Linked DNA regions of Saccharomyces cerevisiae S288C. Changing the gene in region 1 together with any one later gene gives a genetic interaction. Each region holds a gene or a part of one and is shown on either strand. Other genes may lie near its edges.

Region 1 (7,780 bases):
AATCACTGATTATGAAGGTTTTTATGCATACAATCCTCACAAAGGTGCAGCGATTGCATTTGTCGTTCTGTTTGGCATTTTAATCCTTTCTGCCTTGGTGCAGATCATAATGGCAACACACACGAGCAAGAGACGTATTCATCGCTGGGAAAACAATGAGTTGTCAGAGGAAAATTCCACAATAATATACTTTCCTGCCCGCGGTTTGATGTGGACACATTTTCCTTTCGTTTTAGGGATTTGTTTAGAGTTCGTGGGTTATGTGTTGAAAATAGTCTTTATCAATAGCCCCTCGATTTCGACTTTCATTGCTCAATCGGTGCTTCTATTGATAGCACCTTCACTTTACGCCCTTAGTATTTTTATGTTGTTCAGCAAAATGGCACGTCTAATTCTTATGGAGGCATATATGTTAATTCCTGCGAAATTTAGTACAGTTTCTTTCGTAGTGGCAGATATGATTGGGCGTGTCCTACAGGCTGTAGGAGGTGGGTTGTTATCCTCATGGAACAGCAGGAATACTGGGCGTATCCTAATTATTGTGGGTCTTTTCATTCAGATATTTTGTTATACCTTTTTAACGTTCAGTCAACTTTTTCTTCACTATAAAATGAAGGCAACGCCTAGTAAAATTGTGCGGGATAGTAATGAATGGTTCCAGTACAATTTTATACTTTTAGCTGGGATATTGCTGGTTAATGGTAGAACCATTGTCAGAGTAGTACAATTTCTAATGGGCTTACAAAGCTATATAGGTCAGCACGAATGGTGCCTTTACGTTTTCGATACAGTTCTAATGTTTTTACTACCTTTGATTTTCCTAGCAACCTTTCGCGCAAGAAATTTGTTCAAGCTGCAGGATAAATCTGTCAATATTCAATTAAACAAATTATTAGACAAGGAATCTGTGTCTGAAGATTAAGTAGTCAAAAATTTATTAATTAAATAGTTGGATAATATTTGTGCTGGGCATTAGAAGTCAATCTTGTCTTTTCCTTTATATGGTGCAAAGATTATCATGGTTAACGAATCTATTTTTTTTCGTGTCGTTTTTGTTTTTGTTTTTGTTTTTGTTTTGTCTGCTTGACACTCCATAGGAAGAGTAAATGAAGAACCTACCAGACCTAGGGACCAAATAGCATTACTAAACTACAAAGAAACAGCTATCTTTACAGTGTAAAGTATTTTTGAGTTTTTATTAAAGAGTTTGAAGTTGACTATGTCAGGAGAAGAAGAAGTAGATTATACAACGTTACCCCTAGAAGAGCGATTAACGTACAAGTTATGGAAGGCACGTTTAGAAGCTTATAAGGAGTTAAACCAGCTTTTTAGAAACTCCGTTGGCGACATCAGTAGGGATGACAACATACAAATTTACTGGAGGGATCCTACATTATTTGCACAATATATAACTGATTCTAATGTGGTCGCTCAAGAACAAGCCATTGTTGCCTTGAATAGTTTAATAGATGCCTTTGCGTCATCGTCTTTGAAAAATGCACATAATATTACTTTAATATCAACATGGACACCATTGCTTGTGGAAAAGGGCTTAACGTCCTCAAGGGCTACAACGAAGACGCAGTCGATGAGCTGTATACTCTCACTATGTGGTCTTGATACATCTATTACGCAATCGGTGGAATTGGTAATACCCTTTTTCGAGAAAAAACTGCCAAAATTAATTGCTGCGGCAGCCAATTGTGTTTATGAGTTGATGGCTGCATTCGGGCTCACTAATGTGAACGTTCAAACGTTTCTACCAGAATTATTAAAGCACGTACCTCAACTAGCCGGTCATGGTGATAGAAACGTTCGATCACAAACGATGAATTTGATTGTCGAGATCTATAAGGTTACGGGCAACAATAGCGACTTGTTAGAGGAGATACTGTTTAAAAAATTAAAACCAATTCAAGTGAAAGATCTTCATAAATTGTTTGCAAAAGTTGGTGACGAGCCATCGTCATCGAAAATGTTATTCGAGTGGGAGAAAAGAGAATTGGAAAAGAAAAGAAGCCAAGAGGAGGAAGCCAGGAAAAGAAAGTCCATATTATCGAATGATGAGGGGGAATATCAGATAGATAAGGATGGAGATACATTGATGGGGATGGAAACGGATATGCCACCATCAAAACAGCAAAGTGGAGTTCAAATAGACACCTTCAGTATGCTACCGGAGGAGACGATCCTCGATAAACTGCCTAAGGACTTCCAGGAAAGGATAACGTCGTCCAAATGGAAAGATAGAGTGGAAGCGCTGGAAGAATTTTGGGATAGTGTTCTATCGCAGACTAAGAAGTTAAAAAGCACCTCGCAAAATTATTCCAACTTATTGGGGATATATGGCCATATTATCCAGAAAGATGCAAACATTCAAGCTGTTGCACTAGCCGCTCAATCAGTAGAATTAATCTGCGACAAACTAAAAACACCAGGCTTTTCCAAGGATTATGTTTCACTAGTCTTCACTCCCTTGTTAGACAGGACAAAGGAAAAGAAACCTTCTGTGATAGAGGCCATTAGGAAGGCATTATTAACCATCTGCAAGTATTACGATCCATTAGCCTCCAGTGGACGCAATGAAGATATGTTGAAAGATATTTTGGAGCATATGAAGCACAAGACACCTCAAATCAGAATGGAGTGTACGCAATTGTTTAATGCAAGCATGAAAGAAGAAAAAGATGGATACTCGACCCTGCAAAGATACTTGAAGGATGAAGTGGTACCAATTGTGATTCAGATCGTCAACGACACCCAACCTGCTATAAGAACTATTGGATTTGAGAGTTTCGCCATTCTAATTAAAATATTTGGCATGAATACCTTTGTGAAAACATTAGAGCACTTGGATAATTTGAAAAGGAAAAAAATTGAAGAAACGGTCAAAACTCTACCTAATTTCAGTATTGCAAGTGGTAGTACCCATAGCACTATTGAAACGAATAAACAAACTGGGCCAATGGAGAATAAATTTCTCCTGAAAAAAAGTTCTGTACTTCCCTCCAAGAGAGTGGCATCTTCACCGCTGAGAAATGATAACAAAAGTAAAGTGAACCCAATAGGGTCAGTAGCCTCCGCATCAAAACCATCAATGGTAGCTGCTAACAATAAATCGAGGGTCCTGTTGACGTCTAAGTCTTTGGCAACGCCAAAAAACGTAGTAGCTAATAGCACTGACAAGAATGAAAAGTTGATTGAAGAATACAAGTACAGACTGCAAAAACTACAAAATGATGAGATGATATGGACCAAAGAAAGACAAAGCCTATTGGAAAAGATGAATAATACAGAAAATTATAAGATCGAAATGATTAAAGAAAACGAAATGCTAAGAGAGCAACTAAAGGAAGCGCAGTCTAAATTGAACGAAAAGAACATTCAATTAAGATCCAAGGAGATTGATGTCAATAAGCTGTCTGATAGAGTACTGTCACTAGAAAACGAGCTTAGAAACATGGAGATCGAATTGGATAGAAATAAGAAAAGAAATGATACAAACTTGCAATCGATGGGTACGATTTCATCATACTCCATACCTTCTTCCACCGTGTCAAGCAACTATGGGGTAAAATCTTTATCTTCCGCTTTGCCATTTAAGGAGGAGGAAGATGTCAGAAGGAAAGAGGACGTCAACTATGAAAGAAGATCAAGCGAGTCCATCGGCGACCTGCCGCACCGCGTAAACTCTCTTAACATACGGCCGTACAGAAAAAACGGCACTGGAGTGAGCAGTGTCTCCGACGATTTGGATATCGATTTCAACGATAGTTTTGCCTCAGAAGAAAGTTATAAACGTGCCGCTGCAGTGACATCTACCCTAAAGGCCAGAATTGAAAAAATGAAGGCCAAATCAAGGCGGGAAGGGACAACCAGGACGTAAAGGGTAGCCTCCCCATAACATAAACTCAATAAAATATATAGTCTTCAACTTGAAAAAGGAACAAGCTCATGCAAAGAGGTGGTACCCGCACGCCGAAATGCATGCAAGTAACCTATTCAAAGTAATATCTCATACATGTTTCATGAGGGTAACAACATGCGACTGGGTGAGCATATGTTCCGCTGATGTGATGTGCAAGATAAACAAGCAAGGCAGAAACTAACTTCTTCTTCATGTAATAAACACACCCCGCGTTTATTTACCTATCTCTAAACTTCAACACCTTATATCATAACTAATATTTCTTGAGATAAGCACACTGCACCCATACCTTCCTTAAAAACGTAGCTTCCAGTTTTTGGTGGTTCCGGCTTCCTTCCCGATTCCGCCCGCTAAACGCATATTTTTGTTGCCTGGTGGCATTTGCAAAATGCATAACCTATGCATTTAAAAGATTATGTATGCTCTTCTGACTTTTCGTGTGATGAGGCTCGTGGAAAAAATGAATAATTTATGAATTTGAGAACAATTTTGTGTTGTTACGGTATTTTACTATGGAATAATCAATCAATTGAGGATTTTATGCAAATATCGTTTGAATATTTTTCCGACCCTTTGAGTACTTTTCTTCATAATTGCATAATATTGTCCGCTGCCCCTTTTTCTGTTAGACGGTGTCTTGATCTACTTGCTATCGTTCAACACCACCTTATTTTCTAACTATTTTTTTTTTAGCTCATTTGAATCAGCTTATGGTGATGGCACATTTTTGCATAAACCTAGCTGTCCTCGTTGAACATAGGAAAAAAAAATATATAAACAAGGCTCTTTCACTCTCCTTGCAATCAGATTTGGGTTTGTTCCCTTTATTTTCATATTTCTTGTCATATTCCTTTCTCAATTATTATTTTCTACTCATAACCTCACGCAAAATAACACAGTCAAATCAATCAAAATGTCTGAAATTACTTTGGGTAAATATTTGTTCGAAAGATTAAAGCAAGTCAACGTTAACACCGTTTTCGGTTTGCCAGGTGACTTCAACTTGTCCTTGTTGGACAAGATCTACGAAGTTGAAGGTATGAGATGGGCTGGTAACGCCAACGAATTGAACGCTGCTTACGCCGCTGATGGTTACGCTCGTATCAAGGGTATGTCTTGTATCATCACCACCTTCGGTGTCGGTGAATTGTCTGCTTTGAACGGTATTGCCGGTTCTTACGCTGAACACGTCGGTGTTTTGCACGTTGTTGGTGTCCCATCCATCTCTGCTCAAGCTAAGCAATTGTTGTTGCACCACACCTTGGGTAACGGTGACTTCACTGTTTTCCACAGAATGTCTGCCAACATTTCTGAAACCACTGCTATGATCACTGACATTGCTACCGCCCCAGCTGAAATTGACAGATGTATCAGAACCACTTACGTCACCCAAAGACCAGTCTACTTAGGTTTGCCAGCTAACTTGGTCGACTTGAACGTCCCAGCTAAGTTGTTGCAAACTCCAATTGACATGTCTTTGAAGCCAAACGATGCTGAATCCGAAAAGGAAGTCATTGACACCATCTTGGCTTTGGTCAAGGATGCTAAGAACCCAGTTATCTTGGCTGATGCTTGTTGTTCCAGACACGACGTCAAGGCTGAAACTAAGAAGTTGATTGACTTGACTCAATTCCCAGCTTTCGTCACCCCAATGGGTAAGGGTTCCATTGACGAACAACACCCAAGATACGGTGGTGTTTACGTCGGTACCTTGTCCAAGCCAGAAGTTAAGGAAGCCGTTGAATCTGCTGACTTGATTTTGTCTGTCGGTGCTTTGTTGTCTGATTTCAACACCGGTTCTTTCTCTTACTCTTACAAGACCAAGAACATTGTCGAATTCCACTCCGACCACATGAAGATCAGAAACGCCACTTTCCCAGGTGTCCAAATGAAATTCGTTTTGCAAAAGTTGTTGACCACTATTGCTGACGCCGCTAAGGGTTACAAGCCAGTTGCTGTCCCAGCTAGAACTCCAGCTAACGCTGCTGTCCCAGCTTCTACCCCATTGAAGCAAGAATGGATGTGGAACCAATTGGGTAACTTCTTGCAAGAAGGTGATGTTGTCATTGCTGAAACCGGTACCTCCGCTTTCGGTATCAACCAAACCACTTTCCCAAACAACACCTACGGTATCTCTCAAGTCTTATGGGGTTCCATTGGTTTCACCACTGGTGCTACCTTGGGTGCTGCTTTCGCTGCTGAAGAAATTGATCCAAAGAAGAGAGTTATCTTATTCATTGGTGACGGTTCTTTGCAATTGACTGTTCAAGAAATCTCCACCATGATCAGATGGGGCTTGAAGCCATACTTGTTCGTCTTGAACAACGATGGTTACACCATTGAAAAGTTGATTCACGGTCCAAAGGCTCAATACAACGAAATTCAAGGTTGGGACCACCTATCCTTGTTGCCAACTTTCGGTGCTAAGGACTATGAAACCCACAGAGTCGCTACCACCGGTGAATGGGACAAGTTGACCCAAGACAAGTCTTTCAACGACAACTCTAAGATCAGAATGATTGAAATCATGTTGCCAGTCTTCGATGCTCCACAAAACTTGGTTGAACAAGCTAAGTTGACTGCTGCTACCAACGCTAAGCAATAAGCGATTTAATCTCTAATTATTAGTTAAAGTTTTATAAGCATTTTTATGTAACGAAAAATAAATTGGTTCATATTATTACTGCACTGTCACTTACCATGGAAAGACCAGACAAGAAGTTGCCGACAGTCTGTTGAATTGGCCTGGTTAGGCTTAAGTCTGGGTCCGCTTCTTTACAAATTTGGAGAATTTCTCTTAAACGATATGTATATTCTTTTCGTTGGAAAAGATGTCTTCCAAAAAAAAAACCGATGAATTAGTGGAACCAAGGAAAAAAAAAGAGGTATCCTTGATTAAGGAACACTGTTTAAACAGTGTGGTTTCCAAAACCCTGAAACTGCATTAGTGTAATAGAAGACTAGACACCTCGATACAAATAATGGTTACTCAATTCAAAACTGCCAGCGAATTCGACTCTGCAATTGCTCAAGACAAGCTAGTTGTCGTAGATTTCTACGCCACTTGGTGCGGTCCATGTAAAATGATTGCTCCAATGATTGAAAAATTCTCTGAACAATACCCACAAGCTGATTTCTATAAATTGGATGTCGATGAATTGGGTGATGTTGCACAAAAGAATGAAGTTTCCGCTATGCCAACTTTGCTTCTATTCAAGAACGGTAAGGAAGTTGCAAAGGTTGTTGGTGCCAACCCAGCGGCTATTAAGCAAGCCATTGCTGCTAATGCTTAAACTCACCCAATGACCGATATATTGTGTTTCTATACTGTGTTTGTTATATATAGTTTACCTTTTTTAGACAAAAAAACAGAATTATATATTATCCTTATGTTTTGTTATTTACTCGGAAGCACACAATTGCCCACCACACAAAGGAGGTGGAGGAAACAATTAATTTTTCACACAAGAGGTATATATTTGGAGAAAAATGAAGAATGAGATACTTTTCTTCCGATTACTTAAGTATTACGGCTCTGAAATTTTCTCGAGCATTAGATGATTAAATCAAAATGACATAGTATTTCGCAACCTTTCAGTTGGGCTTTGTTTAAGAAGTGGAATACTTTTGCTTGAGTTGTTTAGTTTTATTTTATCCACTGTTGTCTTAACAAATATTTTCAAGACCGGTAAGCCGAAGATGAAAAATCATTATTAACTCATTTTTTGAACAAAAATATAAACAAAAGAAAGGCAACGCACAATTTTAGAGATACATAAAACGCAGTGGATGTTAAAAATAACAGCGGTACAGAAACGCCTGTCTCGCTCCAATAATAATTATACAAATTTG
Region 2 (4,964 bases), on another chromosome or scaffold:
AGCCAGAATTTGTTGATATCATCAACTCTAGAAACTAAGATTAATATAATTATATAAAAATATTATCTTCTTTTCTTTATATCTAGTGTTATGTAAAATAAATTGATGACTACGGAAAGCTTTTTTATATTGTTTCTTTTTCATTCTGAGCCACTTAAATTTCGTGAATGTTCTTGTAAGGGACGGTAGATTTACAAGTGATACAACAAAAAGCAAGGCGCTTTTTCTAATAAAAAGAAGAAAAGCATTTAACAATTGAACACCTCTATATCAACGAAGAATATTACTTTGTCTCTAAATCCTTGTAAAATGTGTACGATCTCTATATGGGTTACTCATAAGTGTACCGAAGACTGCATTGAAAGTTTATGTTTTTTCACTGGAGGCGTCATTTTCGCGTTGAGAAGATGTTCTTATCCAAATTTCAACTGTTATATAGAAGAGCAAAAAATTGCCAAAAAAAACAACATTTATTCATTTGAAATATAAAATTTGGGCTTCTATATTTTAATATTGCTTTTCAATTACTGTTATTAAATGTAAGTACTGTGTCTATGAAAATATATGCAAATGCTAAGAAAAATCCTAAAAATTTGAATATGAGATATTCCTCAGTATTTCTTTTTCATCCTTTCTTCTGCGGCTCTAGCCCTTTGTTCTCTCATCAATCTGCGTCTCTGTTCATCGGTCAAAGAATTCAAATTTTGTTGCTGAATTGAAGGAATATTGGTTAACTTTTTGCCTGGACCCCTCTCTGCATCTTTAGCAAATCTTTGTTTTTCCTTGGCGGCTTCTAATTCCAATTTAATCAGTTTTTCTGCCTTTTCATTCTCTATTGCTTTTTTCTTTTCATTGATTTCATCAACTTGTTCTCTGCTCAATGGCTGACCGATATGAGTTTCGTCCCAATTAGTGAAAGACTCTCCAAGATTGTATCTTGCAATTTGAAACGCGTGTCTCACGTCGTCGTTTCTATTCAAATCCCACGCAGTCCTTCCTAGTCTGTTCTTGATCGTTGGATCGCATTTAATATTTGAGAGCAAAATCAGTGCCATCTGTTTCATCCCTTGCTGCGATGCATAATGTAACATGGTAGGGGTTAAGGAATATTTACTCTCAGGCTTTAACCGAAAGTTTCCATCAAGCTTATTCTTTTTTAAGAAGGATATCAATAACGGTGCCCTTCCTTTCTTCAGCAGAGAAATTATTTCTTCTGTTTGGATTTCTTCCAGTAACGGTTCTTGTTTTTCTTTAAATTCGTCCTTTTTGTTCGACACTTCTAACTTTTGTACTGTTTCTTTCACTGCCAATGGTTCAGGCTTAGGTAATATTTTCAGGTAGGAAAGTTCGCACCATGCCTTCTTCAATTCTAATACAGTGGGCCTGTTCGTGGTAAAAGGGAAGCTCTTTATCCTTTCATCACCCTTGTTCAGAACGGTATTATCAGTAAAAATTTTTTTATCACTGACATTGCGAGCTCGAATAAAAATATTATCACACTTTGACAGATAAGGTTCCCAGTCCTTCAACACACCCTGTATATCTGTTTTTAAAGCGCTTTCATTGTACCTACGAAGTGCTGAACCGGCAGAGTTAGCTTTTCCCTTTGCATTGTCCATTGCTGACTGAGAACCACCTTGCTTCCTTCTGGTAGTATACCTGTGAAACGTCTTGTGCTCTAAGAAATTGACCGCTTGCTCAATTAAGGTTTCGTCCTTCTTGTGCGCGTTCCCCTTGACATTGAGTCTTTGATGAGAAACAATTGCTCCCGCAAAATGTCCACCTCCCACCATAAACAGAGCTGAAATGGCCATTGGGTTCTCTTGCGAATTCCAAAAAGTCAAAGCTTCATTGGGGTTGGAAAGACTCCTTTTATTAAATAGAGACTTATAAATCGCCAAGACCTCATTCTTTTGAAGATACTTCGATTTGAAATAAATGTAGGGCGATTGGGTATTAATATGGCTAATAGCATCCGACTCGTCTTTTTGGAACCCTAATTTCTGCAAATCATTTTCGATTATAGTTTCCATATAATTATTAGTTTGTAGGTCCGGGTCCCGATCGCTGGCTTCCTCACTTTCTTCGTGATCGCTTGAAGTTTGCTCGCCGCCAGAATTTTCGTCTTCAGACTTGATACCATGCTCCTTAGAAATCAGCGCATCGAATTCCTCAACGGATAGGATATCCAGCCCCCTAAGGTTACGCTTAACATTCATCAAATGATAATCAGTCTGGTAGTGGGCCTTTTGTTCATTTCTGGAATCAAAGCTCATTTGACAAACACTACAACGCATAACATTTGATGTGACCTTCTTTCTTGCTATTTGGAGATCTCCAGACTCCTTGTTTCTATCATTATCAGATGTCTTCTCTACTTCAACTTCTCGCAGTGTGGAGTCAAAGCTCATCAATTTCAATGAATTCAGAAGTTGCTCAGACAAATCAAAAATATAAAGATCATTCTTTTTTAGTGAGCCAGTCATTTTACTCGCCTTTTGTGAATTCATGCTATTGGAAGCTTGTCAACAGGCGTGCAGATCTTTTGAAAATCCTTTTTCTTCGAAGGAAAGGTGATATGCATTCTCATTTATTTTCATATACCTTCATCTTTTATTTTCTTCTATTTAAGATTTTGTCACTACATCCATTCAGAGAACCTGCAAAAATAAATATCTGAAAAAAAAAAAAATCGTAATAAATATACAGAATATCGAAAAAAGAAAAAAGGCCACTTTTGAACGTTGTGAAAAAGATATTATTTACATAAACGTATATTATCACTTATAACACTATAAGAATCAATATTTCCACATTACTTCGAACCAATTCTGTGGCACTCCTCCAAGAAAAACTTGATGACGTCTGGATCCATGAAAGGGTGGGTACCGTGACCGAAATTAACAATGTAGCGGGACTTCCCACCTCCAAAAGCCTCAATCATCTGTTTAACTTTCTTTGTTATTACCTCTTTAGAACCATACATGACGCCAGGATCCAGGTTGCCCTGCAAGGTGACACGGTTCTTGTTTATTTTTACCGCTTCTCTTGGGTCCCAGGACCAGTCCAACGAAACAACGTCAAATCCTGAACAGCATAGCTTGTCCAAAGCATACCACGACCCTTTCGCAAAAACGATCATAGGAATCTGTTCCATGATACCTAATTCTTGCAATCTTTTAGGCACTCTTTCGGCAATTTGTCTTAAATATGGTAGGGAAAACTCATCAAAATCTACAGACGAAAGCTCACCACCCCAACTTTCAAAAACTTGTAGTATTTGAGCACCCGCCACGACTTGCTGACTCAGAAACTCCACGGCCACATCAGTGATTTTTTGTAATAATTTGTGAGAAAGCTCTGGATACATGTTAATCCATTGTTTGGCAAATCTGAAAAGACGGGATCCACCGCCTTCCGTCATATAAACCATTAGAGTCCAAGGTCCCCCGCAAAAGCCAAATAAGGGAACCTCACCATCCAACTTGATCCTTGTCATGGTGATTGCCTTGAAAGCCCAATCTAACTCTTTCAAAACATCAACCTTGTAGTCTAATACCGTTTGGAGGTCTTCCGGATTTCTTAAAGGTTCTGGGAAATGTGGACCTTTACCTTCGAGCATCTCGACCCTCATACCCATGGCTTGCGGAATAACTAAGATATCACTAAAAATAATAGCAGCATCAATGAGGCCTCTATAGCGTCTTACCGGCTGGATAGTAATCTCAGAAGCAATTTCCGCATCCCTGCAAGTTTGAAAGAAATCACGATTGTTTTTCACCTCGTGATATTCCGGCAGGTAACGACCTGCCTGGCGCATTATCCAGCATGGCGGTCTCTCGACTTTTTCACCCTTTGCGGCTCTCAATATCAAATCGTTTTTTGGAGCTGGAAAGTTACCCATAGCGTTATAACCTGTTCTTTGCTTTATTTTTTTTTTTTTTGTTCTTCCTTTTCTCGAAGAGAGCTTACCAAACACAATTCTGAGATAATGCTTGATGAATTGAAGAACCTATCGATCACTCTATGTTACCTTCGTCTGGAACATCACTAATTCGAGCGGTAAAGATGAAAATGGCAGAACATTTCGCTGGCAAAATTAAAACTCTTGCCTCATTTTTTTTTGCTTTCCTCTCCTGCCGCCAAAAACCCCGAACCCTGTCCTGTATATACGAGAAACATTGAAAAAGATCGTGTATGATAGCGCCAAGATGGCGGATAAACTAACACTATTGACAGGTTGAGGCCAAGGATATATTACTTGCTAACAGAAAGAGATACTGTCACCACAATTGCCCGCGTACGTATACTACAACATGTTCTCTATATATCACCCACTCTTTCGCAGTGCTACGTACGCCAAAAACGCGCGCATGGAAGTAAAGAAGTTTTTTCTTTTAAGAGCGAAGCTCCATTAAAAGCCTTGAATATAAACTAGTGCGAAGTAGTATGATCCGAAGACACCAATTGCTGGTGCAGCATAGGAATATGTGGCGTCCGAAAAAGAGCCTTTAACAATCCACGGCGAAACAAGGCACCGCTGTGCATTTAAAACATGCCGTTCCCGTACCAAGTTATATTGTTACGGATGAATCCAAAATAATTTGTTAAAAAATGCTGCCGTTCCGTCCCATTGAGTTTTATTTTCCTTCTCATGGCACCTTCTTCGTTTCTTCATCCTGCATTAGACTTACTAGTGTGCTTGCCGGATGCGTGCTTTTTTTTTCCGGCCGACACATATCGCTGAGCTGGAAGGACACCTTTTAATGTAGCCGTGCATGCGGCTCCGCGAAAAGAGCTCTGCTATATTTCTCTACCTGAACTTCGAGCCGCGATCAACGAAAGCTCTCATCCAAGGCTCGTTTTTCTTGACAGAAGCATGACAGTAAAATATGCGGTCATTTTCGACTGCAAGTAGTTCAGCTACCATCCCCAGGTTTACACAGTTTTTTTTTTAGTCATAA
Region 3 (4,653 bases), on another chromosome or scaffold:
TTTAATGGAAAATATTGAAAAGGGTTTACTACATCGTGCATTCTCCGTCTTTATTTTCAATGAACAAGGTGAATTACTTTTACAACAAAGAGCCACTGAAAAAATAACTTTCCCTGATCTTTGGACTAACACATGCTGCTCTCATCCACTATGTATTGATGACGAATTAGGTTTGAAGGGTAAGCTAGACGATAAGATTAAGGGCGCTATTACTGCGGCGGTGAGAAAACTAGATCATGAATTAGGTATTCCAGAAGATGAAACTAAGACAAGGGGTAAGTTTCACTTTTTAAACAGAATCCATTACATGGCACCAAGCAATGAACCATGGGGTGAACATGAAATTGATTACATCCTATTTTATAAGATCAACGCTAAAGAAAACTTGACTGTCAACCCAAACGTCAATGAAGTTAGAGACTTCAAATGGGTTTCACCAAATGATTTGAAAACTATGTTTGCTGACCCAAGTTACAAGTTTACGCCTTGGTTTAAGATTATTTGCGAGAATTACTTATTCAACTGGTGGGAGCAATTAGATGACCTTTCTGAAGTGGAAAATGACAGGCAAATTCATAGAATGCTATAACAACGCGTCAATAATATAGGCTACATAAAAATCATAATAACTTTGTTATCATAGCAAAATGTGATATAAAACGTTTCATTTCACCTGAAAAATAGTAAAAATAGGCGACAAAAATCCTTAGTAATATGTAAACTTTATTTTCTTTATTTATTTACAGAACTCTGAATATACATTGATTGTTCACATTTTTTTTTTCTCTTCTCAATTTCCCTTGATTATATTCAAAAGGTTATTGGCCTCTTGAATGTTTCCCACTGATGGTCGACGTGCCCTTCTAGAGGTCAATGGTTTATAAATTGGTCTCTTATTGAAAAATTCTCTGGTCTTGTCATTTTGTGGTTCGAGTAATCTAGCGTGCATCGAAACAGAACCATTTTTCTCCATAGATGCCTCCAAGATCTCGAACAAGAACGTTTTCATTCTGATGAAATCTCCCATGGAGTTAAAGGAACTAGGTGGTGATTGGAAAAATACCACATCGGCCACAAACCCACCAATAGCTGCCAGCCATTTATTGTCGTTGTTCTCCTTAACAACGTTCAAGATTCTACCGGGTACTACAGTCCTTTGAATGACACCATTTGGTGAGTTTTTTAGCTTTCCTGGCAAGCTGTATGATAATCCACCTGTACCAATGATTTCAGTGTTAAATTTTTTATTCGTTTTTGTTTCCAACTTTTTGTTTAGAAACTTCACTACATAGTCTTCCAGCTTATTAGAATTCAATTTCAATTCATCCGGATGATTTTCCACCAGCCACTCTTTAAATTCATCTTGAAACGATCTAATTAGTGCTGTTATCTTCTTCAAACGCTTCTTCATAGCAGCAGGCGAAATATCTGTATCTCCTTTCATTTCTTTGAATAAGGACAATTTAGCATGAGACTCATCCTCAGGACGAGATATGTACTTGAAAAATGGATTTTGTCTGCCTATATTAGACACAATTGGTACTCCCATTTCTTGAAATCTTAGCCTATTCCATTGCGTACCGCCTCTAGGTTCGAATGTGGTAATTCTTTCCAACGTATCCAAATCGTTGTACACCAAATATCGAGATTTAATTTTCGAAGGAATAGCGGATTTCAACCCCCATTCTTGTCTGTATAGTGTCGATGGCTTAGTTTCGATGATTTGATGTGTTGGATGAAATTTTTTGCCAGTGTATGTCAATGGTTTATGATTGTTAGCTACTTGAGCTATTCTCGACCGTCCAAGCAACTCTGCCAATGTCATTTCGTTCAATTTTTTCTAAAATAAAGAAAAAGAAAAAGAAAAATGATCGAAACAGTCTCACCAAGGGTTGTAGCAAATGTCTGTATGATTTTTTTTCTTCATCACGGCACCTATTCGTATTGCTCCTTTAACTCTACATCTAAGTTCTTCATTCTTTGATTTCTCAAAACAAATATCACTGTCAACGTAAATATTACCCCGCGAGTTCTTTAACAATTTTAAGGGAAGGTTACTTAAGGTCATCTCTGAAGTAATGCCTTTATTTTATAACAAGGATTATTCATGATTATAAAAGATATCGGTAGTGTCAGTTAAAGGATATTTTAAGAAAAACCCCTTTGAGTGAAAGTATTACAAGAAAAAATGGCAGACTTGCCACAGAAGGTATCTAATTTAAGCATCAACAACAAAGAGAATGGTGGTGGTGGCGGCAAATCATCTTATGTCCCACCGCACTTGAGAAGTAGAGGAAAACCATCATTCGAAAGAAGTACCCCAAAACAGGAAGATAAGGTTACGGGTGGTGATTTTTTCAGACGTGCTGGAAGGCAAACTGGGAACAATGGCGGGTTTTTTGGCTTTTCTAAGGAAAGAAATGGAGGGACGAGTGCGAACTATAACCGCGGAGGCAGCTCAAATTACAAATCATCTGGAAATAGATGGGTAAATGGCAAGCATATACCGGGGCCTAAGAACGCGAAATTAGAAGCCGAACTGTTTGGTGTACACGACGATCCCGATTACCATTCATCTGGTATAAAGTTTGATAATTACGATAATATTCCCGTAGATGCATCTGGAAAAGATGTTCCTGAACCTATACTAGATTTTAGTTCTCCCCCTCTGGATGAGCTGTTAATGGAAAATATCAAACTTGCTAGTTTCACCAAACCTACTCCAGTACAAAAATATTCTATTCCAATAGTTACCAAAGGTAGGGATTTGATGGCATGCGCACAAACGGGCTCAGGTAAGACAGGTGGGTTTTTGTTTCCGCTCTTCACGGAGCTATTCAGGTCTGGGCCCTCTCCAGTACCCGAGAAAGCACAGAGCTTTTATTCTAGAAAGGGATATCCATCTGCTTTAGTACTTGCACCAACTAGAGAATTGGCTACCCAAATTTTTGAAGAAGCAAGAAAATTTACGTATAGATCTTGGGTTAGGCCATGCGTTGTTTATGGTGGCGCGCCAATCGGTAACCAGATGAGGGAGGTTGACCGCGGCTGTGACTTATTGGTGGCTACACCAGGGCGGCTGAATGACTTATTAGAACGCGGAAAAGTTTCTTTGGCTAATATCAAATACCTGGTATTGGATGAGGCTGATAGAATGCTAGATATGGGATTCGAACCCCAAATTCGCCATATAGTTGAAGAATGTGATATGCCCTCTGTGGAAAATAGACAGACCTTGATGTTTTCCGCCACATTCCCAGTAGATATCCAGCATTTGGCACGCGATTTCTTAGATAATTATATTTTTTTATCAGTAGGAAGAGTCGGTTCCACCTCAGAAAATATCACGCAAAGAATATTATATGTCGATGACATGGACAAAAAGTCTGCGTTGTTAGATTTACTGTCTGCAGAGCATAAGGGATTGACATTGATTTTTGTTGAAACGAAAAGAATGGCGGATCAACTCACAGATTTTTTGATCATGCAAAATTTCAAAGCTACAGCCATACATGGTGACCGCACACAGGCTGAACGTGAACGTGCCTTATCTGCTTTCAAAGCTAACGTAGCTGATATCCTGGTCGCAACAGCTGTAGCAGCGAGAGGTTTGGATATACCGAATGTCACACATGTCATTAATTATGATTTGCCCTCCGACATCGATGACTACGTTCACAGAATTGGTAGAACAGGCCGTGCTGGTAACACAGGCGTGGCTACTTCATTCTTCAATAGTAATAATCAGAATATTGTGAAGGGTTTGATGGAAATTTTAAATGAAGCGAATCAAGAAGTTCCCACGTTTTTAAGTGACCTGTCAAGACAGAATTCAAGAGGTGGAAGAACTAGGGGAGGAGGAGGTTTTTTCAATAGTCGTAATAACGGTTCAAGAGACTACCGTAAACATGGTGGAAATGGCTCATTTGGGAGCACGAGGCCAAGGAATACTGGAACATCAAATTGGGGTTCGATTGGAGGTGGGTTTAGAAATGATAATGAGAAAAACGGTTACGGAAATAGCAACGCTTCATGGTGGTAAGCAGAAAGAATAAAAGACTAATCCAAATATAGAACTCCTTTAATTTTTTTCTTTTTATTAATCTCCCTTTTTCCTTTCTTTATCTCTTCGTTTTCACTCCAGTACTATACAGTCATACGTTTTATGCATCCATTAGTCGATGAATTGACTCTTTCACGCTACTTGACCCACGGTACTTCAGTTTTATCAAGTTCCCTTTATTCTGTTGCTTTCTTTCTCTTTTTTTTTCCCAATTTCCTTTTTTTTTGCTCTTGTCCCAATCATAAATGGGTGAGTTTACCGTTTATTGGAATGGATATTTTGGAAGCCCTTTGTTTTTATAGAGAGGGAAAAATACGGAATATTTTTGAAATAGGTGGTCTATTACTTCAGAGTTTTTATAATTAAATCTTGAATTTTGCAATTTGGAAGCAAAATATTCATTGCCGGAGAAGGAGTTATTATTATACGTGTAAAAAATAACTCAATGTTATATTAGGTCTATAATTGTTGATATCTGGCATATCATCTGATGAAAGACCAAGGAAATGTATGAAAGCATTTAAAGTTGCACGCATAAAAAAAGTGGTCAAGAAGATCAGTTCTTAAATACGTACATATCTTTCAAGTGG

The links. Genes that interact genetically often act in the same process or in processes that back each other up.
Region 2: mutations in PDC1 (region 1) and VMS1 together harm fitness more than expected from each alone (negative genetic interaction), as found in Saccharomyces cerevisiae (2 studies listed by BioGRID).
Region 3: mutations in PDC1 (region 1) and DBP1 together harm fitness more than expected from each alone (negative genetic interaction), as found in Saccharomyces cerevisiae (2 studies listed by BioGRID).

Annotation. Positions count from the first base shown.
Region 1 is NC_001144.5:231,143-238,922, reverse strand, and holds PDC1 (indolepyruvate decarboxylase 1), read left to right. Parts: upstream 1-4,841; coding exon 4,842-6,533; downstream 6,534-7,780. Other genes in the region: YLR046C (uncharacterized protein), read left to right, coding at 110-922; STU2 (Stu2p), read left to right, coding at 1,220-3,886; thioredoxin TRX1, read left to right, coding at 6,910-7,221. UniProt on the Saccharomyces cerevisiae protein: Major of three pyruvate decarboxylases (PDC1, PDC5, PDC6) implicated in the nonoxidative conversion of pyruvate to acetaldehyde and carbon dioxide during alcoholic fermentation.
Region 2 is NC_001136.10:550,800-555,763, reverse strand, and holds VMS1 (Vms1p), read right to left. Parts: upstream 2,511-4,964; coding exon 612-2,510; downstream 1-611. Other genes in the region: triose-phosphate isomerase TPI1, read left to right, coding at 1-38; uroporphyrinogen decarboxylase HEM12, read right to left, coding at 2,816-3,904. UniProt on the Saccharomyces cerevisiae protein: Endonuclease that cleaves polypeptidyl-tRNAs downstream of the ribosome-associated quality control (RQC) pathway to release incompletely synthesized polypeptides for degradation.
Region 3 is NC_001148.4:323,800-328,452, reverse strand, and holds DBP1 (putative DEAD-box ATP-dependent RNA helicase DBP1), read left to right. Parts: upstream 1-2,188; coding exon 2,189-4,042; downstream 4,043-4,653. Other genes in the region: isopentenyl-diphosphate delta-isomerase IDI1, read left to right, coding at 1-589; mitochondrial 37S ribosomal protein bS1m MRP51, read right to left, coding at 791-1,825; YPL119C-A (uncharacterized protein), read left to right, coding at 4,166-4,429. UniProt on the Saccharomyces cerevisiae protein: ATP-binding RNA helicase involved in translation initiation. Remodels RNA in response to ADP and ATP concentrations by facilitating disruption, but also formation of RNA duplexes.